Linked DNA regions of Alligator mississippiensis. The protein of the gene in region 2 purifies or fractionates together with the protein of the main gene of each other region. This does not show direct contact. Links are inferred from orthologs where the notes say so. Each region holds a gene or a part of one and is shown on either strand. Other genes may lie near its edges. The genes, in order: TSSC4 and ECD.

Region 1 (14,879 bases), on a different chromosome or scaffold from region 2:
TTTGACAAAGACCTGAAGTTTTGGTGAAAACTGACTTTTTTTTGCCTGAAAACTTCCATTTTATTGAAAAAGCCATTCTAAATTATTAAACAAAAAACCCACCCCTGCACCTTTTTAATTTAAAAATGTTTGAAAGTACAATGCTATATTGGTGCTGGTGCATATTTTCTTCTTGTAGGCAGGACCTTTGACTTTGGAACATCCTTTTGAATGAGGCAAGAAAGATCATTTTCCTCATTAGCCTTAGAACTAAAAGCATACCGCTCCTCTTGCGCTCAGCCTTTATTCCACAACAATCAGCAGGGGAGCAAGGACAGGGATCTCTCTCGGACAGCCAGAAAACAAAGTCCAAAGCAGCTATAATCCACTGGTCAAGCACATGTGTCCCATTCTATGCCTGATCTGCAAAAGTTATGGGGCTGTTATAGCTCCCACCCATGGAGTTAGGCTGGTTAGGCTCCAGCTGTAGAGATTTATGTGTCCAGTTCCAGAGGAGGCCCTTGGATTAATTCCTGGTGTCAGCCAATGGTGATTGTTGCCAATCCACACAGGGCAGAGGGAAGCAGCTAGTTAATTAGATTTTGTTTGTTCTGCTTCATTTTTAGGAGGCCCTTGGGACATACAGTGATGGGTACCAGACATGAGGTCAGGTTTTCAGCCTGGAAGAAGCTGCCTGTGTTTGCAGGGGTTTCACCCCCAGTAGCCAGGGCCTTGCAGCCATAGTTCTCTACATTTTCCACACCCGATCAGGAGGACCCCAGAATTCCTTTCCCATTCAGCAGATTCTGTGTGAGACTCTACCTTCCATTTACTGAAAAGGGAAAGAATAGGGTGGCTGTGACTTCCTGTTACTAATGTGCAAGCACCCCTTATTCGTTCCCTAGAGAAAAGGAAGCACTGTTGTTTTCTCTCTTTGAGAGCTATGGCTTCAAGGCGCTTGTACATGTGATAACGGGTTTGTGTACACATGACGAAAATTGCCCTTTTGTGTAACTTAATGGTGTCACACTTTATACGTATGCGAGTTTTTTGCAATTTAAATGAGTTTCATTTTCATAAGCTAAACCCCACCCCAATGTAGTTTAGTTTGCAACAGCGCAACTTGGAATGGTGCAGCCATTAATCTGTCATGTGTCGATTCACTGAATGATGTATAGCGAGCCCCTTCGTCCATCGAATGTTGCTACAATGTTTGTGTAGTGAGCCCCTTGTCCGCCAAGTGTCGCTGCAATTTGCGTGTAATGGTATTTGTGTGTAATGAATGTTTTAGGATGCCAGGTGTAGCTGCAGAACCCAACATAAATCTATCTTCTGCTGACCTCTTCTTCTTATTTTATTAAATAAAGAATTCAAAGAAAATAATCTGTGCTTGTCCTCTCTTATTTCACTTGGTGTGGTGGGTGTCCTAAAGGGCCCCAGGGTGTGTTGGCAGGGGTTGCAGATTGGGGTGATTTCAGGCTCTTTTGGAGATCAATCAGTGTGTGTTGTATCTGCTCCCGTCTGTATTATTGGGGATAATGCAGTGTGTGGTGTACCCTGAGCCCCTCAGCACAATTAGAGAAATACTGCACAGCAAAGCGTGCTATTGAATGCTGGTCGCCTAACTTGGGGTTTATGCTGTGAGTGGTGTCATGAAACCACTCAATGGAATAAAAATGACCTGTGCTGGCAAAAGGTGTATCCTGCTCCTTTAGTTCAGGGTTCAGGGTTACTGCACAGAATTAATAATTGATCGCCTGCTTTATGTGGGCTGCTGAGCATGGTTTTATTAAAAGCAGTAAGCAGTCACCCAGTCTCAGGATGGAGGATACTAGCCTGCAGGCATCATAGAATTTTTTTTTGGTGTGCAGCCCCTGCTCCCTGAAGCCGACCTGCAGTTCCAGGAGGGTGGACACTTTTCCTCGTTTGCCCTGGTGACTGAGGTTTGAGGCACAAATCAGACCCGAAGCTTGTGCCTGCCCCACACCAGGGAGAGGGCAGGCATGCTCCTGGGCAGGCAGTCGTTTGGTCTGCCAGGGGCCCCCAGAAGCAGTGTCTTGACACATGGGTCACTGTGTAGCCTGTTGTGCCATTCATTGACAGGGATTTTTTGGGGTGCAGGGACAGTGCAGTGGGGCTTTCCCCATGGCTGCTGTGCCATGCCTGGTGTAAAGAAACCTGACCCTGGTAGGCAAACATGCCGCTGACTGGCACCAAAAATTGCAACAGGGTGGGTGAGGGCTGGCCAAGTTGGGTGGGTTCTGCTCTGAGCATTTAAGACCTAATAGGAGTTGAATGGGTCCCCAGAGTTCCCTTGCTGTCTGGACAGCTGTCCAGCTGTCTGTCTTTGCAACAACAGGGGAGGTGAGGTGAGGTCTGGCTCTGTTTGGTGTATTCTGCTCTGAGCATTTAACATCTAATAGGAGTTAATGGGTTCCCAAAATTCACATCACATTGAAAACTGGGTGTAGGGAGATTTGGGACATTTATGCCTGCAAGATTACTTGGTGGTTCTGGCACCTTGATGTCTGGCCTAGCCCTTGATGTGCTAATAGGATCTATTCAAAAAGAGCATGGGGACCTTTTACACCCACATTTCTTCTGCTGGGTTGGGGGTGTTTGCTGGGGTGAGACTTTGTAGAGGGTCTGTTCATTGTTCTACTAAGTCAGGGGCGGGCAATTATTTCAGGCGGAGGGCCGCTTACTGAGTTTTGGTAAGCTGTCAAGGGCCGCATGGGTAGCCCCGTCCCTTGACAGGTGCCCTGCCCTCTGGTTGCCATCTTGTGACCAGAAGTCCTGCCCCCTAACTCCTGGCCTTTGCCACCAGAAGTCCCTCCTTTTGCCCCGAGGAATACTCCTTTCAGCAAGGGGTTTTACCATCTCAGAACCAGAAACATACCAAATTATATTCTAAAAATCACACATCTAAAACATAATTTGATTTAAAAAATAAGTTTTTGACCTGGCTTACATGTGTTTGTGTAGTGTACACAGAGGTGGTTGTATAATAGCTGAAAATGAAGTCTTACTCTTGTATATTGTGGGAGGGGTGGGGGGCATGGGTATAGGTTTGTGGGGGACTGTTAATGTATGGGGATGTGTGGGGTGAGAGAGCATGTGTGTGTGTGGATATTCATAGATTCATAGATGTAGGGTTGGAAGGGACCTTGTAGATCTTCTAGTCTGACCCCCTGCCCTGGGCAGGAGAGAAAACTGGACTTAAATGACCCCAGCCAGGTAAACACTGAGCCTCCTCTTAAAGACCCCCAGGGTAGGAGCCATCACCACTTCCTTTGGAAGTTGGTTCCAGATACTAGCCACCCTGACAGTGAAGTAGTGCCTTTGGATGTCTAGTCTAAACCTACTCCCTAGCAATTTATGGCCATTATTCCTTGTTACTCCAGGAGGTGCTTGGGGGAACAAGGTCTCTCCCAAACCCCACTGGTCCCCACTAGTGAGTTTATAGAAGGCCACCAGGTCCCCCCTCAGCCTTCTCTTGTAAAGGCTGAACAGGTTAAGGTCCCATAGCCTCTCCTCATAGGGTCTGCCCTGCTGTCCCCAGATCATGCAAGTGGCCCTTGTTTGGACCCTCTCAACCCTGTCCACATCCTTCCTGAAGTGCGGCGCCCAGAACTGGATGCAGTACTCCAGCTGCGGCCTGACCAGTGTCTCATAGAGGGGAAGGATCACCTCCTTGGCCCTGCTTGTGATGCATCTGTGGATGCAGGACAAGGTACGGTTAGCCCTACCGACAGTGTTCTCAAATTGTCAGCCCATGTTCATCTTGGAGTCAATAATGACTCCAAGATCTCTTTCTGCTACCGTGCTTTCGAGAAGGGAGTTCCCCAGCCTATAGGTATGCTGCTGGTTCCTACTGCCCAAGTGCAGCACCCTGCACTTGTCAGTATTGAATCCCATCCTATTTTCATTTGCCCACCCCTGTAACCTGTCCAGGGCCTGCTGTAATCTGTCCTTCCCTTCTAGTGTGCCCACCTCACCCCAAATCTTGGCGTCGTCTGTGAATTTAAACAGCTTGCTCTTCACCCCATCGTCCAAGTCACTAATAAAGAAATTGAATAGTGCGGGCCCAAGGACAGAGCCCTGGGGGGGACCCCACTGCCCTCTTCCCTCCTGCAGCATCTGGCATATCTCATGTACTACCATCCCGGCTGTGCAGGGATCCATGCCAAACTGGTTCCCAATGAAGTGGAGGCTGGTGGGAGTGGCCAGTTTCATTATGGCCATGGCCACCCTCTTTTCTGGTACAAAGGGGTGATTCATGACAGTATTCGTGCATGATTCATGCAAATTTCTACTGGGGAATGTGCCATGCATAGCAAGGAGCCCAGAGTGCCCTGGAGTAGGTGCATTTCAGGGGTGGGAAAAATGCGGCCCGTGGGCCACATGCAGCCCACCAAGCCATTCTATCCGGCCCACGGGGCCCCTAAAAAATTTAGAAAGTTAATATTTATCTGCCCCTGGCTGCCCGTCATGCGGCCCTCGATACCTTTCCAAAACTCAGTAAGCGGCCCTCTGCCCAAAATAATTGCCCACCCCGATGTATTTGCTCTCAGTTGGCGTAGCTGACCTGACCTGTGCCTCCTCTATCTCATCTGGGAGAATGGTCTCTGTGAGCTGTAGGAGACACTGGAGATACTGAGACTGCTCTAGGTTATGCACAGTCCAGCCCCACAAATGGAGAACGGTCTCAGTGTAGGTGGTCTCAAGTCCCTCTTATCATCCTTTCTCCCTCCTTCCCCTGGCCAGGATATAAGCAGAGCACAGCAGTAACAGACCTGTGAATGCAGCCCCAGTTCTAGAGCAATATCAATGGAAGAGACATGCCACTGAGGAAAGGATGCTGTTCTTTATATGAACCCCTGGCTCTGTGTCCCTGTATTCTTTTAAGATATTCAGAAAGTATCTTCCCTATTGTGCCTTTTGCTCTGGCTACAGGAGAATATCTCTTGTCCCTTTCTTGCTTGCTTTGAAAACAATCTACCCTCTATGACTATTGAAGACAGCTTGACCAAGCTTATTTTGATGTTTATTCAGTGAAGCTGACCCAAGGCATGAGGAGATTTGGAAAATGTATCTAATTGCTTGCCAGACCACGCAGAGCTTGGAAGCTAGCCCTTGCCTGGAGCACAGTCATGCTGTTTGCTCTCCTTCCCAAAGGTGAGTCTGGGTCCTACCCATTCCTTGATGGAAGAATCCTGGAGCTGGCACTTCCATGAAGGACTTCTCAACACTACCTGGGGATGGCCCCATCATTTTTCTCCCCAGGGGCAGCTGGAGTGGTTGATTGACAGCCTCTCGCCCCTGTTGCTTGTGGATGGGTCTCACAACAGCAGAAACAGGAAACTTCAGCAGCTGTATAAGGAGGGAGGGAGGGGGGCTCTTAGCAAAGTGCTAAAGCTGTGTGGAGGGAAAGGCTGAATGACTGGTTGCTCTGCACTGTGCTGATGTATTTGAGGGTGGGAGCACCCAGTATGCAGGGGTTTGCGTGAGCTTGTCCGCTTATTCTGGGCTACAGCCCTCACACCACAGGGCTGAGGACCAGCAGGCATATGCATACGCCTCTAGGGGATATGATCACTTCCTCTGCAGCTGTGCAGGGCTACTTCTCCTGAGATCCCCTGGGCTGTGATAAAACAACCCCTGAAGAAGTACTCAGAAAACACGGCTTTTTCGTTTTGACAGTTTCCTGCGCTGTTGCCTAGAATTGTGTTTCCATCCTACCAAGCTGCCTCCGCTCACACGAGCTAGAAGAAATTGCTTTACCATCTGTTCATCTCTGAGCCCTGACTCACTATTTTTATTTTGGTGTCGCCAAGCAATTGCAAGAGCCCCAACACGCCGCCAGCACAAACTGCTCTGCCACCAGCCTCTAGGAAAAACAAATCTAGCCTTAATGCCTCGCAGCACATGGGCCTTGGTAGCAACTTGCAAGGGCGGGGAGGGCGACATAGACTTCACAGTGATCTCAGCCCTCAGGCAGGCAGGAAACACAAGCCATTAAAAAGGGAACTAAAGTGGAGCACAAAAGAAGTAAAATATCTCCTGATGGTGCATGGCCCACAAGGCACCTGGGTGCTGAAGGTGGCAGTGATGGAGAAAGGTCTCTTCACGCCTCTGGCCACTTTGGCACCTGAACGAGGACTGGAAAACGGTCTCTCTCTGATTCCAGTGAAACTCCAAATCCACCTCGCCATGTGATAGACGGCTTGTGCCTGATCTTACAAAATGGGACCGGCTGCTGCTTTCTCCCCTGCTCTCTTCCTGCCCTTTCCCATCCACACTTTAGAGTGCATCACCTGCCATGCTCCCAATACTACCCTCTACTCTGCAAATAGATTTTTTTTACCCTATTCCCTTAGACCGCACCCACTGTTTATTCTTTTCTTTCCAATGATGCTCTTTCTCTACCCACCCAACCCACCCATACACTGCTCCCTGTTGAGCTCCTAGGTGGTACCCCACAACCCTCTGCAGCCCCTGGGAAAGGCCGATCCCATGAATTTCCATGCTGCACAGATCTTTGAATGGGGAAAAGCCTGTATTAGTGTTGTTTTAAAACTCCAGCACAACTCTGGCCAGATGAAAGACATTTTGTTCTAACCTTGCCTGTCATTGCTGCCAAATATATTCCAAACACAGCTCTCTGGTCATAAATTACTGTAGTTAGCAACACTCCAGAAGGCTGTGATATATATTTAAAACCGACAATGCAAATGAAATGGCTGCAGTTTATATTATGGATGACTCATAATGAGGCCCCATTTTTAAAGGGATTCAGCCAGATCTTTTAGGCCACAAACATAACCTGCCTTTAACATCACACATTTTTCACCAACGCTAGAGGTGAAGCAGTGTTTGGAAGCCATGAGGAAAGGTATCTCAGCAATCCCTGAGGCAGGTAAGCTTGGAATACAATACAGCTCCTGTCCCAATATGATATGCTGGCACATGGCACAAACATACAGCTTTTGTTTATATGTAGGCCCCTAAGTAAAGGCCACATTGTTTCTGAGTTATCTATCCAGTGCTGAGAAAACTAATTAAATAAAAGCTTTTATTCCCTACATCTTGTTTCAGAGCCCACTGACCTCTTCTGAAGGACTCACTCTCACTTTCACTGGCTTAAATCAGGCCTATACAGTGATGTGTAACTGGGACTAAAGGGACCTTAAAGCAAATCCCTAGGGACATGGTCTAATGTCATCGCTGGCTTTGCTCCAGACTGGTCTTGTGTTAAAGACTTTGGGCCAGACTGTTTATGGGCTGGCTGGAAGCTAAGGGCCTTCATATGAGGGTGTCTCCCAAATACTGTCAGACTTACTGCCTTTCTGACCCTGCCTAGAAAAATCACCTGAGGCAGCTTTCCTTCATCCAGATTTTAGCTATTCAATGCCACATCTCTACTAGCAGGCAAGGTTATTTGGGTAGATGTGATATCTTCTTTTGCAAAAAATGGTCTTTGCAAGCAAGCTTTCAGGAACAAACACCTTTCTTCAGGCATCGGGAGACTCTACTGGTGTCATATGTTCCCCAAGGTAGAAAAGTGCTTGTGCCTGAAAGCTTGCAAAGAACATTTTTTCCAACTATTTAGTTGATCTAATAAAAGATATCCCACCTACCCAAAGAACCTTGCCTGCCTATGTCCTTAGACCAACGTGGCTACAACCAACAACCCTGAAATAGCTCTACTGGGGCCCCTGCTGCCAGTCATGCTAATATAGCTGTTGTGGCAGCAGCGCCATACTGTAGCCCAGTCTAGGCTGGACCAGCTAACTGTGTTCATCTAAACAGCACGCTACAGCAATAGTGTTAACTAGGATGAGGTGAGCAGGGCACCACCCCCAGGCGCCAACTATGAGAGGCTGCCAAAATCCATCCACCTCCCCTTCTGGGAGTCCTTGCCTTGACAGGGGAAGCCCCTAGGCGGCCCCTGCTGGGCCATGGGAGCTGGGCAGGGCAGCACTTCACCCATCAACATATCTAGGGGGTGGGGGGCGAATGGGACAGGTGGAATGGTTCTCCCCTGACCCTGGGGAGCCTTTGGCAAAGCAGCCCCAGCCCTACTCCCAACATGTATCAGGGTTGGGGTGGGTGGGGGGAAGCAAATAGGACACCCGGATCTGCTGGAGGAAGCCTGGCCACAGCAGAGCTCGCACTGCTGACACTGAGAATCTGCAGCGCTAGCCCAGGCAGGTGTGACCTCCCTTCCCCTTGCCCGTGCCATAGGCACCCCACCCCCCACCTGCCGCCATCTGTGTGGCCAGCATACCCTCACCCTCCACCCCGCACCGCCCGCCCCAGGCGTTCAGCGAGCTTGCTATGCCACTGCACTACATCCCTGATGGTCAGAGCTGGCCATGTTGTGCAGCCCCACGGTGGCCAAACTATCCTCCTTCATTTTGATGGTAGAGGTTTATTTCTTCCCCCCTGGCTCTCCCTCCCTGCATGCCTATAGCAAAGCCATGATGGGTGTGAGTGATCTCAGATGAGCCACGCTTGGCTTTGTATCCCACTCCCCTCCCACCTCTAAAAGCAAGAGGCATGTTGACATCTCCTTCATCTAGCAGAGAAAGCAGGTTGGGAGATCAAGTGTGGCTTGCCACAGAAAGCTCTTGCCCTGCTCCCAAGAGGGGGCCTGGATGACTACATGATCTCTGGGCAGCCCTCCATCCCTGCTTCTCTACGACTCTACACCCAGAGACGGCTCGTGCTAACCTCCCCTGCGGTTGCTAGTGCCTCACTTTCCTTCTCCCTCCGTAAGGGGCTGCTCTGATGCTCCTACCCCACACCCCTCACGAGGAACTAGGGAACGCTTGCACCGGGGACCACAAGGCTGCGGATTAGAATGCTACCCGCATCCCGACCTATCCCGCGGCGGTTTACAAAATACAAGCACCTAATTGGCTGCAGTCTACCTTCCACCGCCCCGCCCCACCCCACCCCATTGGTGTAACAGGGCGCGGCGACGAGAGCGGCTAACACCGCGGTGCATTATGGGGGCCGCAGTCCCTTCCGTGCGGGGTGGGGCGGGGGCAGGCTCGCCAAATGTCCCCCGAGAGTCCGTGGACTACAACTCCCAGCAGGCCAAGCGGAGGGACGAGCTGCCCTTGCCCTTTCCCCCCTGCCCTGCCCATCCTGCCGCTTGTCCCCATGGGAGCTGTGGTTCGGGGCGCCTGCCACTTCCCGCGCCTTGCTAGAGCTTCCGCGGGCGGAGCGGACTCGCTTTCCCAGCTTGCCCCGCGCGGACGGTGGCCGCCAAGGGCGCTGAGGGGCAGGGGCCGCCCCGGAAGGAACGCGACCGTGGCGCGGAGTGGTTGGGCTCGAGCTCCGCGGAGGTACGCGGGGCTGCCGTTGGGCTCGCGCGGGCGGGGGGCAGGCACCAGGGCACGGCCGTTGTCCACCCCCCGTTGTGCAAGGGGGCGGGGCGGGGCGATGCGGCGCGGAGCGGCCCGCGGAAGGGCAGATGCGGGGGCAGGGCAGCCCTGTGCGCGCGTGCGCAGTGTTGCGAGGTGCGCGATCATTAGCCTCTGCGTAGGATCATTGGAGCTCTCGTATGTTCAGTGGTAGTAAAAGTGCGCGAAATGTAGGGTAATTGTTGAGGCAGCAAATGCAAATCCGAAGTCGCTCTCAGGGAGTCTTAGATGACACCTGGGTTTGCTGTCAGCCCTAGCCTCCAAATAAAGAAATGCTTCGACTTGAAGTCCTTGCTGACTCACCGGCGACTTGCCGTGAGCAATAGGAAGTCGAGAAGAAGGCTTATTTGCATAGTTATTTGCATATTTTTGCAGCGGACAATAGTTTTTCAGCAAATACGATCGTTTTGAGCTTCCGATACAACAATTTCATATTTAAGACCTGGCGATGCTGTGTGCACAACAGCATCACCCTCCTTAGCCCACCTCCTCCTTGTGGCAGGGAGGGGTGGGCTGTGGGCCTCTCATGCCCAGGTGTGTGCACGTGTGTGCCTGGGTGCACAGGCAAGGGTGTGCATGGGCGTGTGGTTGTGAGAGACCCTGCGTGTCCGCCCAGCCCCTCCCCTCATTGCAGATGGGTCTCATTGCTGAGGGGGTCTGGGCACTTAGCTTCTTTGCACTTAGCCCAGTGGTTCCCAAACTGTGGGTCATTATGCCAGATGGGGTTGCGAAATCAGGGTTACGGGGGTGGGCGGCTCTGGGTTGGGAGTGAGGGGTCATGCTGAGCAAATGGGGCCATAAATGGGTTCATGCTGAGGAAAAGTTTGGGAAGTATCTCCAGAAAGCTTTACGTATCTCTGTTTCCCCTGGCATAATGAGGGCCAGGCAAGCACAGCAGCCGCCCCTAGCACTCGCTTTGTGGGGGTGGGGGGTTCCTCCTCCCTTCTTCCCAGCAAGGCAGAGCTGGGGAGCACTGTGCCCAGCAGTGTTTCAAGAGGGGGAGAAGGGTGGAGTGACGCCCCCTTCCCCTGGGAGGCTTCACCAAAGGGGGTTCAGCCCTGCCCGTGGGGCTAGGGGGTGAATGGGGCCCTGGGAGCTCATGCCCCTGCCCACAAATCGGTGGCAGCAGCGCAAGCTCCTGTTCCTAGGGGATGGGTAGCTGCCTCAAGTGAGGAGAGCCCCAGCACGTCATACTGCCCCCCATCTGCCCAGCAGTCAGCATCATTCTTCCCCCCCCCCCCCCCCCCCCCCCCCCTTAGGCCAAATGAGCGGCCTGTGGTCCATCCATGGGCTGGGTATCAGACCCAGCACGTGCAGTGCCTGCTTCGGCCAGTCTCGGACCTGCATTGCACACACTGCATGTGGTGTGGTCCTAGGACCAGCCATGCAACATAAGGTCCAAACCAGCCAGAGTGGGCATCAAATGTGGCATCAGATGTGGCACTCATCCCAGGCCCTGTGTTTGTGGCTGGTTCAGTGCTTGGTGTGTGTGGGTCAACTGCAAGTCCCAGGGGCAGCATGGGGGGTGGAAGGGGCAGCTGATGATACTTCACAGTCCATCTATGGCTCCCAGGCCATATCTTTGACACCCCATAATTAGTCCATAACAGTGATTCTCAAGCAGGGTGCTGCAGCATCCTGAGATGTTTTGAGAGTCCTTTGAGGGTGCCATGGGGTGCCACGCAATGGTAGCACTGTTAGGTGTGCAAACACAGTTCACAAGATAAACTTGAGGATTCCAATTTGAAACCTCCAACATTAAAAATGTTCTGACCTGTTGTGAAATTATTCTTTGCAGCTGAATAATTGCTCTTTGATCTTTCCTGTAGTCAAAACACAAGTGAAAGCTAAGAGCCAGAGTTTTCCAAGGGGAGAGGGGGGCGGGCCTTGGGCCTAACGAGGGATGCCTTGTGTCTAAGAAGGCGGAGAACTACTGGTCTCTAAGCTGCAACGCTACCCTGTGTTCTGGCTGCCAGTGTGGGAGAGCAGATTGTGTGTCCATCCCTGGCTGCAGGGTGGTACCTCTGCCAGGATCCTCCTCTCTATTATGCTGATAGTACCCATCTGATGTCCATGACTTCCTTCTAGGGTAGTCCTTTGCTCAGTGGACTATAGGCTTCCTATCTGCTGACTGGCAAGGGCTTACAGTAGTGTGTATTGCAAATGCCAGCGTGTGGTGAATTGGTCATTGTGTGTTCATTCTGGACACCAGAGTGGTTTTATTGTGGTGTGAATGCCAAGGTAAATTATTTCAGAATAAACCATGACTTGTGTTTGCATAGTTATATGGCCACCTTCACTAAGCTTTACAGTGTTAGCGTAGCTGTTGTCCAGTCTCTGCTCTTTCCCCTTCTGTACTCAGTATGGTGATAAAAGGCTCATTGCCCAAGTGTGGAGTGACTAACTCTTGGACCCCTGTGCAGGTCACAAGTGATCCAGCAGAACCCTGTTAGCTGAGACCAGGATGGAAGAGTCTGACGGGGACCTATCCATTCAGAGAGGTGCCGTCCTAGCTGAGTTGTACCATATTCGGATCACCACAACGAATTTGTGAGTCTGTCTGGGGAGTAGGGGTCACTGCTCGAGCACGATGTTCTCCAGAATTGAAAAGGTTCCCAGGGTCCCAACACAGGGTCCCAAAACAGGGACTGTTTTGTTACCAGTCCTGGAGTGTTAGGCAATTTAATTCACCAAAATGTAGTCAACTATCACCCTGGCATCAGTATGAAAGCAGGCTATATACAGGTAGACTTACTGCCACCCAGTCGGCCACCTGGTTCTGAGGGATTGTTGTTATTTTTACAAAAGCCGTTGATCCATATGCCATAGCTTTAAAGACAGAATGGGCAGGATTTCAGGGGCTCCTATGCTTTTTTCAGGACTTGAATGGAACCAGGTTTCAAAACCATCTATCAGCTTTCTTTGTGACAGATTGCCAAATTTCCCATTGAGGTCTTGTGGGGAAAAAAATCTATCACGCTATTCTGAAGACTAATCACTTACACCTTTTTATAATATCTGCTGCAAATTGGGAGTGTAGAATTACTTTGAAAATCCAGTCCTGTTCTGTCCTTCTGTCTCTTTCCTGCAATGTTCAGTGCTTGTGGTTATTATCCTTTATTAGTTATAATCAGTTACTCTTGGTAACCACAATGATGGTGAATTCCTGATCTCTTTTTACTTAGCAGAGTTTCATTCTTAATCATTTATAGTGTAAACCACAGAAAAAATAATACATTTGTGAATTCTCTTTCTTCCCCTCAAAGTTCATTCGAAGGGAAGTTAGCATTAATCTGCACACTGATATTAAGTGCTGAATGGATTCAGTGGTGTCTGTTTTAGCAGGATTTACAAAGTTCTTTTCTGAAATATCTGCATGGGGATGCCTCAAAAAATGTGCCAAGTTTGCCTGTTAAACTCAGGTTTACTTTAAATATATATATATATATATATATATATATCTATCTATCTTTATCTTTATCTTTATGCAGATGTTTGTTTTTCAGGGTTCAGGAGCTGAGATCCTTGGTGGCTTTAAATGATTCCCAGGAAAGAAAACTGATTCAGTCTGCTAGTGAGTGACTAGCAGACATTCCATGTCTATTTAATGTGGCCGTTAAGGAGAACTTATTTGAATAGTTTAGATTATTTTTTTCCTATTTTAAAATTCTTACAGTATATTGGAAATATTGCCCTGATTCTAGATATCTTTATTGCCTATGCCATTATGCATAGTATTTTATGAATATAGCCATTATGTTAGAAGGTAGCTTTACAAAAAGAGTATCTGAGTTGTGTATAGTCTTGAAACTCATAGTGATGCTAATATACAAATGAGAGCAAGCAAAAGGAGAATTTATGTTGCATCAGTTCTCCAGTATAGAGGGAAAAAATGTGTGTCAAATGGAAAAAGGATCATCAATAAAGGCTAGGAGTGATTCCATTTTTTATTTTGAAATAGAAATCAGCTGTGCCCTTTTGTTTGCCTATCTTTTAACACTGTTCTTCTTTGCTAGATTTCTGGTTCTGTCTATTTGGAGACAACTGGTTGGAGCACACAATGTGAGGCATGCCTGTGTAGCGAGGGATCTGGTTTCAATTTGTGCTCCTTCCTGCCCTATCTTTCCTACCTACAGAAGCTTTCTTTCTTTCCTCTTTGTATAGAAATCTCTTATCTCCATAACTCTCTTTCTCAAAGAGAGCTGAACTAAGGTACACTTAGCCACTAGCAGCTCTGTTTGCTCAGCGAGCAGGGGTGTTCAGATTAGAAGGCAGAAGAGTTTTGCACCTTATGCACTAACCAAAGCAGATATATAGCACAAGCTTTTATGGGCTGAAGCTCACTTCATCAGATGCTGTGCTAACCAAAGTAGTCCTAATTAACAGGGCCAGCTGCATCTCTGGCTTCAGATTAACCATCTTCACCCTGGCAGAGATCCTGCAAGCAAATGATAAGTGAATTTGGGGTTCAAACCTGTACTTCAACTCAGTAAGACATGATGTCATATCTAGGCCACTGACCTTGGTGTGTTGACAATGTCCTTATGATAAACAGTTCATTATCACCTGTCCTGTAGAATTTGGGGAACAAAAAGCATGCTGGTAGCTCAGGAATACAAGGGAGTGCCTGACAGAATGCTGCTAGGGCTTGGGACATGTTTCCATCCATTAATCCTATAGGATAAATATTGAGTGTGACCTTCAATTATTGCTGAAGGTAAACAAACCAATCTGGAGGAAGTGTTTAAGAATGTCATGTGATATTCAGGCTTTTTCAGAAGCAACATACCTCAGCATCAACTAATGAACAAGATCTGCAGTTTTTAAGCAAAACCAGCACACAGGTTAGAGGATTTCTAAGCAGCCCTGTATGCTGGAAAGTCAGTCTTCCCTGAGGATTAGTGCAGTAAAGAATATTTTTTAGTTTAAACAAGAATTGCTTAGGAGTCACTCAGGTCACGGAATGGGTACAGGTGCCTAAGGTTTCCAGTAGTAATGCATAGCATGGTCTGGAATGTCTATCACGTACAACATCAGTGGAAATAATGAGAGTCAATATGTTGGTTCAAATAGCATAATGGAGGCCAGGTTGCTTTTCAGCTCTAAGTGTAACGGGTAGTCCTTATACAGTGATTCTTCTCTGTTTCATTTTTTAGCACTATTTGGGTCAAGTGTATTCTTTGGGCTTGGACTGCTGCAATGGTAATGGGGATCTCTTGGGATTTGAGTCTTATTTTGCAGTTGAGTTTATATTTGTTCCTTCTTACGCTAGGCTTTAAACTCATTGGACATTTGGAAGGCCTTATTTGCTGCTGCTGAACCTAATCCAGAGACTGCAGTTGAGTGACGACTTGAAAATGGAAGATAAAGGTGCTGGCGAGCCCTTTATGGGTATAATTGCCAGTGAGGTTGCTGACTATGATGGCATTCAACCCTCAGACACAGTGTCACTCAGTGATTCAGACC
Region 2 (15,098 bases):
AAGTCTGTTGTGGGGGAAGGGAAAGGGCGTGGGGGGGGCGGCAAATTGAGGGCCTTGCGATGAGGGAAGGAGTGGGGCAGGGTGCGGGATGGAGCCGTGGCTGGTCCGGGGGCTGCGGGGCATGCTCCCCAGATGTGTGCAGGGCACTGTGGGTGGTGCTGGGCTCTTCCTTGTAAGGGGGAGCTGGGCTGGGACTGCGCTTGGGGCAGGTGGTGGCGGGGCTACAGCAAATTTTGGGGTGGCTGCAGCCCCTCCCCCCTGGCTGTGGTCCCCCTCCCAGCGCTGCTGTCCGCCCCAAGTGCAGCTCGGCTCAGCTGCTCTCTGCCAGGAAGAGCCTGGCACTGCCCCCAGCCCCAGCCTGCAGTGGCAACCTGCCCTCACCCCACACAGATCTGGAGGGCACATGCCACAATGACTCCCCCAGGGGTGGTGTAGTGGTAGAAGCCGTTCCCCTCCCCACATCCCTTGGACAAGTCACGTGGCTCCACCCTGCGCCCCCCTTCCCCCAGTGAAGTGCCTGTGCCTGTCCCTGCACTAGCTCCACTCCCTCACCACAGGGGCCTCAGTCTGCCCGCCCCCCTCCACCGTGCTCCTTCTATGCCCCTTCCCCCACAACAAACTTATCAACCAGACGCTGCTCTCTGCGCTGCCGGGCTGCGCTCCTGGCTGCCTGCATGCGGTGTTGAGGCTATGCATGTGCACACAGCATTTATAGTGACATTACTGGCTACATCAGCCAAAAAAAGCTAATTGCTGATAATGGCAATTTTCCTTTTAATCAGTTCTGATATGATATAGGACCAATGTAACCACGTACCTCTAGTAGTATCCACTAACCTCAGTGAAAGTTACTAGGTAGTTAACAAAAATCTAGCTATTTAGACTCTTAAATCAATATTTGAGGCACTCATGCTTGAGAACGCAGACTTAAAAGAGAGATACATGCAGGCATCACTTCCATCCTGCTCATTATTAAAATAGGGCCACATGATGGCAAGAGCAACACAAACAAAATCCACGTCAGTTATTGAAGAACACTGTATCCTAGAAACTCTCAAAATTCTGCATAGTGTAGACTATGATAGGATGAATCTTCTAAAAGGTTGGAGACCACTGCTAAAGTAGGTGATCACCTTTGGCATTTAAAAGCAACCCAAGATCTACTGTGCACCCCCCCACTCTTCCTGCCCAGCAGGTAAGTGCAGGGGTGGGGTGGGGATCAAGGCAGAAGGAGAACAAATTATTTAGGGGCACGCCTCCCCAGCAGGTAAGTCCCACCTGGCTGGGGCTCCACTCAACTTACCCCTGCTCCTGCCTCTGAGACCCTGCCCCTCACCGCGGGGGCCTTGATCTAGACCCGGTCTCTTCTCTTCCCCACAGACTGACCTGTTGGGCTGGAGCATACTTGTGCATGCACATAGGCACTCAGCCCCCCACCCCAGCCTCGGATTGACTCTAAGATCTACCACAAGAGGCTCTGAGATCTACTGGTAGATTGAGAGCTACTAGTTAGTGACCACTGTTCTACAGAATTAGGAGTAAGGAAAACCTGACTGTCTAAAAAGCTGTCAATTTCAAAGGAGATAAGGGAGGGCCTCCTCTACTCTGCATAAAAGTTTCTGGGTATTGCAACCTTCTATAAAACCTTTGGTTGTCTTCCAGCTAAAGTGGCAGAGTTGTACAGCTGTGGAAGTATGTCTGCTGGAGCTGGTCCTAACATACATGGCTTACTTTGGGATGTATGTGGAAAGAAAGGGTGTTGGGGGGGCAGGGGGAACTGAGGAAAAAATGCTCAAAGAGAAATGACCATTTATGTTTGCTTGCTTTTTACCCTTTCTTAATTAAAATTGAAATATGTTGCCTTATTAAATTCCTTCAAACTGGATCCTTAAAGTTTGTGGCAGAATGCACCAGCAAGGTAGCAGATAATGACTACATCTTAATACAAGGATTTAATAAGCAATTCCCCTTCCACAAGTAGCCAAGTACCTCCTTTGTAGCAGTTACAGCTACAGCATACACATTAAACACTACAAGGAAATGCTTACATTTTGCTAGCTAGCTAGAAGTTGAAGGACAGCACTATGCCACTGGTCAGTTCTTTGAAGACCAAAGGTGTTGAGATTGCAGATGGGAAAGCCTAAATCACTGCAGTTTTGGAATTGGTCTTAAATCCTTTCATAATAACAGAGAAAAGCTTTCAATGCCCCAAATGCCCAATTAAAAAAATTGGTCAGAATAATGGAGTCAGTTACTGTGCAATTATTCAATGATCACAAGTGTTGAGGGCTACCTGTGCATTTCATCCAGCATTTCAGTGACTGCCACCTGAACTAAAAAGCAATGTTTCAAAACAAAATAAAGCAATTCTAAATTGGCTTTTCTATCATTTCAGAATTATTTTGTTGAAGAAAAGAAACTCATCTGCTTTTAATAATCTAGTTCCACAGTGAGTACAAGTAGTAAGACTTAAAATACCTTAAATAAGTAGAAACTTATGAATGCTTTCAAGAAAAGTTAATCAGAAATGTACTATTTTTAAAACTGAAAGCTGTGCATTTTCCTAACACAATGATCAAAGAAACAGCATAACAAATCAGTCAGTCACGAGACAGAATAGGTTACCAGCAGAAATATCACTTACGCAACTCATCACACGCGTGTCTGGAGGGAAAATTTTGAAAGGATGGCATGCTCTTAAGTCAATGGGATCTCGCAAGTAGAAGGCCTCGACTGCAGCAGCAACCAGAGAAGGGCGCTCCTTCAACACTCCCACAATGCCTGCTGGAAGGAAACAGTGGGCTTGGTGAAGGGAGGCCTTGATTTTGTCAGGATATCTGTTTCAGGCAATGATATAACATGTAAAAAAAAAAAAAAAAAAAAAAGAAATATTACAAACATGACCAGATATTCTTTATGCAGATATTCAACAAAAGGGGAAACAATGTGTGTGCACATTATGTACATTTACAAATTACAGTAAAATCTTCGGTAACCGGCCCCTTACAAGCCAGCATGCTCTGTTAACCGGCATGCCAGCTTGTAAGGAAAAGTGAAACTGGAAGTGCCCACTGTGGCACTTCCGGTTTCTCCGAGACCCCATGATTGGTGGGAAACCAGCTTGCGCTGCAGAGCCCCCATGGCCTGGGGGCATAACAGGCTGCGGGGGGCCCGCCTCCCTGTCCTGCGTGGCCCACAGGGCCTGCGGGAGGGGCGGTGATGTCGTGGGAGGGACAGCGACGCCCCAGATGTGGTGAGAGAAGCGGCGGCCCGAACAGGCAAGGATGACTGTTCGGGTCGCTCAGTTAACCAGCATATTTTGTTATCTGGCATCCCCCATTCCTGGTGGATGCCGGATAACAGAGCTTTTACTATACTTTAGAATCTCTAGTTAGAAAACTAATCAACATACAGCGTGGGTTATACTTACAAAACTAGTATAGCTAGACTTTGAGAGGTTTAAGTCTCTCCCTCCAATTTGATAAGTCCTTTATTGTGAAGTGGCCTAATCATCTAGCTTACAGTTCCTTAATATTAAACAACAGAATCTAATTGCAGTCTTTTTTAAGCCTAAAGTATTCCGAGAAGGAATCTGTTACCAAACCAGTGACCCTTGCTGACCGTTTTAGGCATACCAATGGAAGTATTCAAACTGCCAGCAAGGAAGACTGACAAGTCACAGCTGTCCTTTTACAAACAATTAAGAAAAGCCAAAATCACACAGACATATGATATAATTTTAGCCCTGTACCTTTGTTTTTCAACACCCTCAAATAAGAATATAGTATACCACCTGTGTGCGTACAGGTGGGTTTACCAGTAGAAAGAATGTCCCAGAAAAAAAAGTCTAGCTATTAGTTTTTGGAAAAGTGGCAAATCTCATTGTAGTTGACAAGAAAATGGATTAGATACTAGGAAATAAGTGCCCTAGACAACCCAGAATCAAAGCATTCACTTAAAGAACATCAACCCCCCCTCTTCCCTCCCCAAACAACCCAAAACAGTCCACTCACCCACTTATGCGTTTATAGACTGCTGTTCTAATAGGTTTTGCAGCCCGGAACTCCTCTAAATGTGCAGATAACAGCGCTAAGACCTGGGGAATTGCTGGACTGGAGGCAGGCTCCTCTCCACAAGTCTTTGATTGTGGGATGATGCACAATTCTCCTCGGTGAAAGAACACCTAAATATAAAAGTCACATCAGAAAGGAGCACATTTGCATATAGACTAATAAGTTATCTGTTAAATCAGGGGTGTCAAACATATGGCTTATGGGACAGATTCAGCTCATGGAGTTGCTTCCAGCTCACCAGCTTATAGGTGGGCCACTGGCAAATGAAGGGTCTGGCCTGCTGCAGCATCCAGGGCTTTTGGGCCCCAGTGGATGTGGTAGTTGGTGGCAGGACGGTGAGCAAGGGCTGATACAGCCTCAAAAACCCTCCAGCTACTTAGCCTGTCTCCACTGCTGTAGCCCCAGCTCCATGGTTGCCACCCCCATTGCTGCCTCATGCCAGAGCTAAGAAATGCCATCACGGTGTGGTGCATGCGATAGAAGCTTTGGATCCAGAGGGTACATGGTGAGAGCTGGAGCTGCTGTGATCTTATCATGCCATGTCACGAGCTGCAGCTCAAGCTGCAGCATCTCCCAAGCTGGATCCAACCTTCAAGCAGCCCCGCTGCCACAAGGATAGGGCCCCTCGTGGCTCCCCCACCATTTGCCCTGAGGCATGCATGTCAAGCAAAACGCCTTTGAATACTATGCTCTGGCATGTGTGCCAGGAGTTGCCAATCCCTGTGCTAGACCATGATCAAAGAGATTAAGCTGATGATTATCAGACTCTTTACAAACAACAGCAAGTTGTAGATTTGTGAAAGAAGCAAGAAAATAAAGCTACTTAACTAGTTTTATTTTTGTTCTAAGTTGGAATTGAATTTTAAGCCTACTAAATAAGAGGGTACTGCACTGAACTCAATACACCAGTAAGTTAATTTGAATGAAAATTTTACTTACCCTATTGGCACTATTTTCAGGGTTCAACCATTTTGGAAGGAAATCAGCTGCTTCTATCAATAGGAACTCACCATCATTGTCATCAAGCCTACCCAAAATTAGGTTTTTATTAGAAAAGGCTCTGTATAACACAACAACTATTCTAAATGATTTACTACTTCAGTAACAGAAGGCTCCATTATCTTTTCTTTCTTTTTATTCCTTTGTAAATCCTCCCAACCAAAGACAGAAACTATTATATATTTAATGATTTCAGTTATTTAGTTTTTTTAGGGCAAATAATTTTTTCCTCAGACTGTTGACGCGCTAAGATTTTCTTTTGCACATTCTTATATGAGAATCTACTAGTATTTCCATTACTTGTATAATGTCACTTAATTCAGTTCAAACGTTCTATAGTCATGTAGCTAGCAGGAATGAGAGCCGTACTTTGAGCCTTATATTAGGAAGAGGTCAGAATATTATTGTGCTGTACAATTTTTCCAAAATTCAAGAAAAAGATTAAAGGAATATAAAATGACCTATGAAGTTTGTGAAACATCAAGCACTATACACATTATTGTCACCCTAGATGGCACACCTAGCCCATCTCTCCCTGAAGAAAGGCTACAAAACATTGTTATGTAACAATTTGATTCTTTGAAATTCAAAACACAAAAATCAGTACCCTCCCTCAAGCCTTGTAACAAAGCACTTACTTAGCTTTAACTTTAAAGAGACTAAAGCACATGCCTAAAAATTTAGTACATGCTGAATGGGGATTATTAATCCACTCCCTTTGGACTATCCTGGTAAAACAGTGTGGCAACAGCTATCACTAAGAAAAAAATTGATTTAGGTCTCAGGTTATAGTTTCACCAAAAAATAATAAAATTGAGTTTGCTTTGTTAAGAATACCTTGCTACTAGCTCTGGAAACTCTTTTGTTATCTGCTGTAGGAGGTACACAATAAACCATTCATCTTCAATATTATCTCCAAACTCAGTCACACCCCCAATATGTGCAGGAACACCACCTGGACAAAAAAAAGAACAGAAATTGAGTGACCTCCTCCTTAGTCCAAACCATGTTCTTATCTCATAATTTCACAAGGGGTTGGGGGGAATGGGGATTGAAGGCTTAGTATTAGTATTACAGCAGTAGTTCAGCAAATCAAACCATATTTACCCAAATCTTCTGTTTAACATGTGGGGGGGAGGGGGGAGCTTGTCTTAGATTCAAGTACTAGCCAGTGGAAAGGCAGGTGGCAGCTACAGCTCCAACTCCAGCCCGGAGCCGGGGTTACCGTGACAGCTTCTGCTTGCTCCGCACTGCCTCTGCCCCCACTCGCCACGCTGCCCCCCCTCCGGCAGGGCTTCGGCCCCACTGCAGCCGAGGGCAGCACACAGCAGTGGTTGCTCCAGCCCCGCGCAGCAGCAGCAGGAGCGGCACCCCAACAGCCACTGCACGGCCCAGCTGCAGCTGGAGCAACCGTGCGCCGTGCCCCGGCGGGGGGGCAGAGGGGTCGGGGTATGCAGAGCCACCTCCCACGTGGGGACACGCGGCGGCGGCCCCAGGAGAGCGGCGCGGGGCCGTACCTCGCGCGGGCCGGGCGCGCAGGGAGAAGGGCTCGCGCTGCCACACGTAGGAGACGAGCAGCGGCGCAAGGCGGGCCAGGACCCGCTCGGCGCAGCGCGGCAGCGCGTCCTCGCCCTGTTCAGCGCCCGGCGGCAGCAGGAAGAGCTGGTAGCGAACCGCATCCTCCGCCCGCCGCCACAGCGGCTCCATGGTCGAGCCCGCTGCGGGGACCTAACCCGCCCCGAGGGGTCACGCGACGGCTGGTGGCCAATGCGGGGTGGGTTTCCGCCAACGCAATAGTCCCGCGCCCGGCGCACTGCTGCATCATCGCCGCGCGACAGCGCCAGCGCCTGGGTGGGGTGGAGTGGAGTGGGGTGGGGCGTCACCATGGCGGCTGGAGGCGGCGGCGGGCGGCGCCGGGGGCCACGCTGAGGTGGCGGATCATGGTCTCGCGATACACGCGGAAGCCGGTTCCCCCCGACGTCCTGGAGACGTGAGTGAGGTGGGGCCGGGCCGGGGCTCCAGCCGTGGGCTGCCCCACTCGGCCTCTCAACAGGCCTTGTGCCCTTGCTCTGGGGTAGGAGAGGTCCGGCGGGCAGGACAAGGCTTCCGCCAGGGGAGGCTCTGGGCGGCAGACTGCAGTCCCCGGCCCGGGCATAAACTGCTCCTGACTTCCGAAAAGTGTCTTGGGCTGTTTAGTGACCGCAGGCGCCGTCTGTGCCTTGGCAGAGCACGCGTCCGCCGCGTCCTACAGCTTGACACCGCGGCCCTGACGTGTGAAGCGCTTGGGGAGCTTTCTGGTTGGACAGCACCTGGGGCGTACTAGCGTATTAGGTGTCATCTTCAGCCAGGGCAGCTAGGATAAAGTTAGGTGGATTAGTATCCCTCTCACTTGGTGGGATAAACCAGTTGTTTAACATACAGAGATTAGGAAGGAATTTCCTGGATGGACATATTTTTGACTTGGGAACAATCAGAGAGATAAACTCTGCTGACCTCATGTCTATTGAGGCATTAATCATGAAGGCCCAGCTGGGCATGTGGCTCAGACAGACCACGCATGAATGTCCAAGTAGCTCCTGTTCAGTAGAAGGTGTCCAGGGACAAAAAGGGGAGTTGCCTAAGAAAGTACTCCAAGGATAGCCTAACGACCAGGGATCCTGCTTTTCTGCTTATACATCCAAAATTCTGTGATTAAAAAATCCAAAGTTTTCTGATTAAAACCTCCCAAATCCATGTTTTGCTGTGATTGATTCTCCCTCCCTCAGATTGTGGCCACCTCAGTCTGCCCCCCTGCCCCCCACCAAATATTGCCTATGACCCCCCTGCCCTCTCACGTGTCGCCTATGCCCCCTCCATAAACTTACCTGCAGGTAGCTGGGGGAGCTGCTCTCCACCACTGCCTGGCTGTATTGCTGGCCTTGTGCATGTGAGCCTGCATCCCATTCCCTTTGGCCCCAAACAGCCTCTTGCAGGCTGGAACTCTGGCAGCCTGCAAAGGGAAACACACTTTAAAGGAGAAAATCCATGTTTTTCTGTGGCAAATGGAAAAGTTGGCTAATGACCAGGGATCCGGGTTTTCTGTTTCCCACGGAAAAATGGAGAAAATCACGGATTCCCTGTTTTTATTGCAGAAAACACGGATTTCTCTTTTTAGCAGAGAAATCCGCGGATTCTCCACTTCTGCAAAGAGCTCTTGCAGGCTGGCACAGCTCCAGCCTGCAAGAGCTGATTTGCAAAAAGGACGGGAAACCCCCAGCCTTGGTCCAGGGGGAGGGGGAAGGGTGGGGCCTGAGCCTCTGAAGCAGCCAAGACTGGGCTTAGGCCCACACTCAGCCTTCGCCCCTGGAGCATGGAGGTAAGTGGGGCTTGTGGCAGGGCTGGGGAAGATAGTTGGGGGCTGAGGGAGTTGTGGGTGCTGGCCCCAGGTGGCACATCACAGCTGGGAGCAGAGCCAGGGGTGAGGGCAGGGGTGCCCCTCTGCGAGGAGCTTTGCAGGCAAGTGAAGTGGGGCGCAGTATGGTGGTGCCTGCCCTGTGCGGGCTGCACATATGCTGCCCTGCTGGCTGCCCGGAGGAGGGGGAGAGGGAGGCTGGCATGCGGTCGGAGCACAGCTCCCTGGCTGGCTCTGCAGCCACGGTGAGGGATGGGGGCGGGAGCTTGCGCTGAGGCTCGCATGCGGTGCTGCCTCTTACATGGAGGCTCGTGATGGCGGTGACAGCCGCTGCCTACAAAACCTCCCGCTGCCACCACGGAGCCATGCCTGCAGCTGTGCGGCCGGCCACTGGGTGGCATCGGCAGCGTGGTGGTGGCTGGGCAACACACAGCCATCCCCACCACCACCCTGTGCTGCTGCTGCCGGCCGCACAGCTCTGGGCATGGCTCCGCAGTGGCATCGGGGGGGGGGGGGGGGGGGTTTGTACACAGCGGCAGTCACTGCTGGCGCAGGCGGCCCCACAGGTAAGTGGCAGCAGCCGCCACCACTGCCGCCACCCCGTAGGGTGAAAGAGGAGCTGGAGTAACTGGGGTGCGGGGGGCGGCTGGTTCCTGGGCACCAAGGCTGAAGTAGCCCAGCCATGGGCCATCTCTGCCCTACTCAGCAGCCACAATGATGGTGATGGCAGCCATAACACGTTGGCATTGGCAGCCGTGATGTCCCGGGGCAGCAGTGGGGGGCAGACGCCAGCATGGGGGCAAGGTAGGGCTGAGCCCGGAGATGCTCTGAATCTTGGCTGATGGTCCCTTCCTCTTTCCCCACTGGGCAGGCCTCAGGCAGCCCCAGTGACGCAAGGAGCTAGGCTTGGGGCCTGCCCTCGGGGGTTGTGGTGCTGCAGGGACCCCCCAGCCCTGGGGACACTGAGATGGGAAGGACAGGCTGCATAGCCTGGGGTGGGGGTGTCTGGTGCACCCGTCCCTGGGATCTCAAACCTTGCCACAGGGGCTGCTGTGGGGAAAGCATGTGTGTATGCACGTGCGCATGTCCCAGATGTCTGGGTTTTGTGAGCATGTGTCTGTTTCTGTGTCCTGGACGCCTGGGTACTGTGTGTGCATGTCCTTGACACCCGGGTCCTATGCATGTGTGTGTCCAGGATGCGTGCATAGTGTGTGTGTATATGTGTGTCTGGAAGCCTGGATGATATATGGAGAGATTGGGGGGGGGGGGGTGAGAAACCTGGGTGTTGTCTGTATGTCTGTCCCAGAGGCCTGGATTCCATGTGTGTGTCCTGGATGTTCAGGTTCTGCACGTGCATGCATGTGTGTGTGTCCCGAATGCCCAGGTTGTGTGTCCTGAATGCTGGGGGGGCGGGGTGTCCCAGAGGTCTGGGTTCTGAGCACATATCCCAGACACCTGGGAGTGGTATGTGTGTGTGTGTGTGTCCGTCCCAGTATCCGTGTCCCGGATGCCTGGGTTCTGTGTGCATGTCCTGCTGTTACTCACAGCATCTGCCCAGCAAACCCGTGCCCTCCAGTTCCCAGACCCCCATGGCCCCAGAAGCTGCACCTGGCAGGGGTCAGAGGCCATTCTGGGTCCAGGCCACCAGGTGAGGATGATCTGGGCCCAGCTGGGCTGCAACCTCCCCTCCCCAGTGCCGGGGGCTGCTCCATGCTGCTGGGCACCCCAGGCTGAGCTGGACACCAGGCTTGAATAGAGTGGGAGGGGGGGCAGGGGACTGGTAGGATCTGCTCTGGGTCCCTGCCACCATTTGGCGGCTCAATGGGTCTGAGCACCACAGGGCAACAGAGAGATGATGGGGAGAGAGAGAGAGAGAGAGAGAGAAAGCAGGAACAGGGATGGTGAGAGGTGGAGATGGACAGAGACAGACGGCTAGATGATAGGTGTATGGATAGAGGGATAGCGATATGTAGGTAGAGAGAAATAGAGGTGATGAATGTGTGGGTGGATGGGTAGACAGGGTTATACGGTTGGTGTGTGGAGAGGAGTAAGGAATGGATGAATGGACAGGGGTTATGGAGATGGATGGTTGGATGAACAGATGAATGGGTGGATGGGGTTATGGAAACGGACAGATAGGTGACTGGTTCATTGGCTAGATGGACAGATAACTAGATACATGGCTAGATAAATAGAAATATCTATGTAGGTAGATGGAGATCGAGAGAGATGGATAGAGATGGATAGAGATAGTTGGATGGTCTGCTTCATTGGATGGATGGATAGATGGAGATGGACATAGGTAGATGATGTATGGATAGAGATATCTAGGGAGATAGAGATAGATGGATAGAGAAAGAGGGATATAGGTACATAGAGACACAGAGAGATGGATATAGAGATGACTAGATACAGATACCTAGATGGAGAGAGAGAGGGCAATAGAGACAGAGAGATGGATAGAGAGGGACAGATACATATAGCTAAATGATACATGGAGAGATTAATAGAAATATCAGGGTAGAGATAGATGGAGAGACAGATAAATGGATAGATGAAGACGGATAGATAGGTATCTAGGCAGATAGACAGATGGATGGCCAGAGATAAACATAGAGGGACAGAGGTGACGGGTGCTGCATACAAAACCTGCTGCAGCCACAGAGCCATGCTCAGAGTTGTGCGGCCGGCAGCAGTGGCGCAGTGCAGAATGGTGGTGGGGATGGCAGCCTGCTGCCTGGCCACCACCACGCTGCTGCTGCCGCCAAGTGGCCGGCTGCACAGCTCCAGGCACAGCTATGCGGCGGCAGCGGACAGTTTTGTAGGCAGCGGCTGTCATCGCCAACACGGGCCTCCAGGTAAGCAGCAGCGCCGCGTGCAAGCCCCCGCCCTCCGCGCCCCCATCCCTCACCGTGGCTGCAGAGCCAGCCACAGAGCTGTGCTCTGGCTGCATGCCAGCCTCCCTCTCCCCCTCCCCTGGGCAGGCGGCATGTGTGCAGCCCGCACATGGCGGACACCACCACACTGTGCCCCGCATCGCTTGCCTGCAAAGCCCCACGCATAGGGGCTCCCCTGGCCTCACCCCCTGGCTCTGCTCGCAGCTGTGGTGTGTTTCCTGGGGCCGGCAGCACCCCCGCTTCCTCAGCTCCCAACCATCTTCCCCAGCCCTGCACCACAGCCCCCATGCCCCACTTACCTCTATGATCCTGGGGCAAAGGGCATGGCTCCGCGATGGCAGTGCTTGCCTGCAGAGCCCCCCCACCCTGCATTCAGCCGCCGCCACCACCCTGCACCACCGCAGAGCTGTGCAGCCAGTTGCAGGGCATGCTGCTGCATGGAAGCCCCCTGTTTCACCCCCCGGCTGGGTGGCACGTATGTGGCCCACACATGGTGGTTGCCACTGCGCTGCTGCGCCCTGCGCCCTTGCCCACAAAGCCATGCAGGTGGCTGTGGGATGGTAGTGCAGGGTGCAGTGGCAGATTTGCGGTGGCGGCCTCCATGTGCGAACCTCCTGTCAGGCCAGCCAGCCGGCATGTGTGTGGTCCGCAGAGTGGCACCCCTGCCCTCACCCCTGGCCCTCCTCCTGGGAGTGGACACAGGGGCACCCCCCCCTTTGATCTACCCCCCCAGCACCTTCCCTTTCCCCCGCTCTGCCCCTTTCCCCAACACACACTTACCTGCTGGGGTGGGTGTCAGTGTCTGCATGGCTGGGGGGCTGTTGCAAGGGGCATCAGGAGGACTGTTGAGACTGGGGGGGGGAATGCAGGGCACCAGCAGTGTTGTGGGGGGCCTTTAATTTTTATCATGGATTTGGGGTTTTTAATCAGAGAATTTGCAATTTTTAATCAGAGAAAACCAGGATCCCTGCTAATGACACACTTAATATGAATCTAAGCTACTGACTAACTCTTGAGTTCTCAGCCAGACATAGGCAGCAACAAAATGCTAAGGTGAGGGAACCACAAAAGCAGATCCCAGGGCAGGAAAGGCATGGAAGATGAGGGGTGAGTCCGTAGCAACAGCTGGTTAACTTATATTGAGTGCCCTTGGAAATGTAGTGACAAAAGGTACCTGTTGTGCATAGATTTGCGCAGTCATTTGTGCATCCATTTTGTGCTCAGGTCAGTCACCTTAACTGCAGCACTGTTACCCTTGACCTCTGGTTCTCAACTTTATCAGACTCAAGGCACTTCTCATCAGATTCAAGGCACACCTTGGAAAATGTCAGCACTTAGCATTACTGGCCCAATCCCAGCACATAGGGCAAGTTGTGGGTGGGGGAGGAGGGGGAGCAGTACTGGCCTCCAAGGCCTGATCCTGGCATCTGGGGCTCTGTCTGGCCTGTGGACCAGCTTTGGGCCACTCTTCTGGCCAGTGGGGCAAAAAGGTTGAGAACCACTGTCCTAAATCATTTGATAGTAGTCACTATTGGAGATAACATTTACTCCAGCATCCAATCTGTTAGGGAAATCTCCTATGATTATGTGGCAGAGTTACAGTGATACCACCTGACGAATTAAATGTAAAAACAAAGATATTTTAATAACTTTCAGCTTGGATAGTACTAAGGAATTTGGCACTATACTTTCACAAATTAATGTCAGAGGCAAACCGAGGCTGCAGTCCTGCATTGTTTAATTTTAGGTAGAACCCTGCACCACTGCAGAGAAAACTGAAGCGATAGCACTCATTTCAAGAGCAATGCTTAAGTTTTATATTTTCACTGATAACTTCCATTTTCTCCACCTTCTGAGTTCAGATGTGCACAAACCATGATTGATTTAAAAGTCATGAGATTTTACAAAATAATAAGTTTGTGTACTTTATATTTGCTTTATTGTTTTGCTTTTTGGTACTGTCATTACATTTTCAAACTTTCCCACAGCCGTGAGGGCTGGAAAGCATATCTGAAAAAACAAAAAACAACAAATAACAGTTACTTGTTAAGGCTCAAGTTTAAGGTTTGGATGATAATAAAAATCAGTAAAAGAGTACTGATAGATCGTTAGTGTAGTGACATTAATGTGGGGACATAAAGCAGGTTCAGCTATGTATGCATGCAGTATTTTTCTTGAAAGCTAGTAGGATCCTTTTATGCCCTAGAAGGAGTTCCGAGTTGTGAGGTTTATTGTCACAACTCAAGTCACACTATGCTTTTTGTTTTGTTTTAGACGGAGACTTACAAAAAATGCCTTAGCACAACATCCCCTGCCAGAACTACTAGATGACATTTATTCAGCTATCCCAAGCACTGAAAGTTATGAAGAAGCTTCAAGGTATCTGAAATAGCAACAGACACTTTGTTTTTGTCTGAAGGCAATAAGATAAACAGACATCTTTCGATTCTGTCCTCAGATATCAAAATGATAAAATTATGTCTATAAAAGCAAGTAAAATATCTGTAAAAATTATGCTTGAGATTACATCATCAGCAACATAACTACATTACTAATGCTTGATTTCCAAAGATAGTACCATAGGCCTCGGTCCAATAAGATGGTTTGTTCAGACCTTTGCATCTGCATAAATTCTCTTGAAAATGGGACACAGGAGAGTCACAGGGATCTGTCTGGATGGCACTGCTTCCTAGATTGAAGCCATTGGAGACAATTTCATCCCAACATTTTCATCCTTTTCCAGCAGCTTAACCCAGGCTTGGCTGGGATGCTCCAGACAGGGATGATCCTGCCTTGAGCTGGGGACTGGATCCCCTGATGACCTCCTGAGGTCCTTTCCAGCCCTGCTTCTTTATGACTTCCTACTATTTCTTACCAGGACATTGACTCTATACTTTACTAGTGGGTTCATTTTAGCTGGATGATGTGGTACTTTTTTCAAGACCTAGTAGATACGCATAGGAGCACATCCATTTTGGAATAATATTCAATATGGATAATAAATCTGTTTTGTCATTGACTTGTAAATGTTGTAGACTGAATATTTTATGTTATAAAAAAGAGTTAGGGAGAGTAATTTTTGAGAGGTAACAAAGTTGAACTAGTATTTATCTACATAATCAAAGGTAGAAGGGTAGTAAAATAACATTTGGACTTTGAATTTTAAGAGATCAGTCCTGCAGCCTTTATGTACCATTGAAGCCAAGCCAAGTACTTTTTTACTTTTGTAAATTTATGTCAGGGTCTGGGCTAGATGGGCATATGTGCACTGTGGTGTCTGCTCAAATGCCTGCAAATTAAATATTTATCACACAGAAAGGGCTTTTGAGAGCTAAGCTGTGATACATATCCCTTTCTGTACACAAAGTAAAAAGTACTTTACCTACTTGTGAATGTCTCTAATTTATTTATCCGCCTATAAGAATTTTTTCCCCTCCTCCCTGCATAATCGGCATTTTAGTGAGCCTGAAATCTTGAAGGATTCAGATTGCCCAGCTACTACATCAGCTGACAATGGGAACTCATGGTCTGCTAGCCAGAGTTACGCAGGCACCTCCACTGAAGGCAGCTCAGTCTTCTCCTGGGGCTATGATGTGAGTAGAACACAGTCCTCCATATTAAATACAGGAAAGATAATGGAAACATTGTGTTAAGTTAAATTAGCATTGTGAGTACATTTTGCAAGCTTTCAAAGTTAAGATGAGAGCCTTGCATAATGATATAGTATTAGTCATGGGA

The links.
Region 1: the proteins of ECD (region 2) and TSSC4 purify together in Homo sapiens (affinity purification with mass spectrometry; 3 studies listed by BioGRID and IntAct, counting the BioPlex papers as one, with this or other methods). This does not show direct contact. The link is inferred for Alligator mississippiensis from reciprocal best matches to the Homo sapiens genes ECD and TSSC4.

The regions. Positions count from the first base shown.
Region 1 is NC_081825.1:188,806,964-188,821,842, forward strand, and holds the start of TSSC4 (U5 small nuclear ribonucleoprotein TSSC4), read left to right. Parts: upstream 1-9,230; 5' UTR 9,231-9,335; intron 9,336-11,836; 5' UTR 11,837-11,963; intron 11,964-12,919; 5' UTR 12,920-12,987; intron 12,988-14,685; 5' UTR 14,686-14,770; coding exon 14,771-14,879. UniProt on the Homo sapiens protein: Protein associated with the U5 snRNP, during its maturation and its post-splicing recycling and which is required for spliceosomal tri-snRNP complex assembly in the nucleus.
Region 2 is NC_081829.1:60,091,067-60,106,164, forward strand, and holds the start of ECD (protein ecdysoneless homolog), read right to left. Parts: upstream 6,817-15,098; 5' UTR 6,780-6,816; coding exon 6,590-6,779; intron 6,028-6,589; coding exon 5,910-6,027; intron 5,101-5,909; coding exon 5,013-5,100; intron 4,184-5,012; coding exon 4,014-4,183; intron 2,838-4,013; coding exon 2,645-2,837; intron 1-2,644. Other genes in the region: primary cilium assembly protein FAM149B1, read left to right, coding at 7,013-7,062, 13,635-13,739, 14,821-14,953. UniProt on the Homo sapiens protein: Regulator of p53/TP53 stability and function. Inhibits MDM2-mediated degradation of p53/TP53 possibly by cooperating in part with TXNIP. May be involved transcriptional regulation. In vitro has intrinsic transactivation activity enhanced by EP300.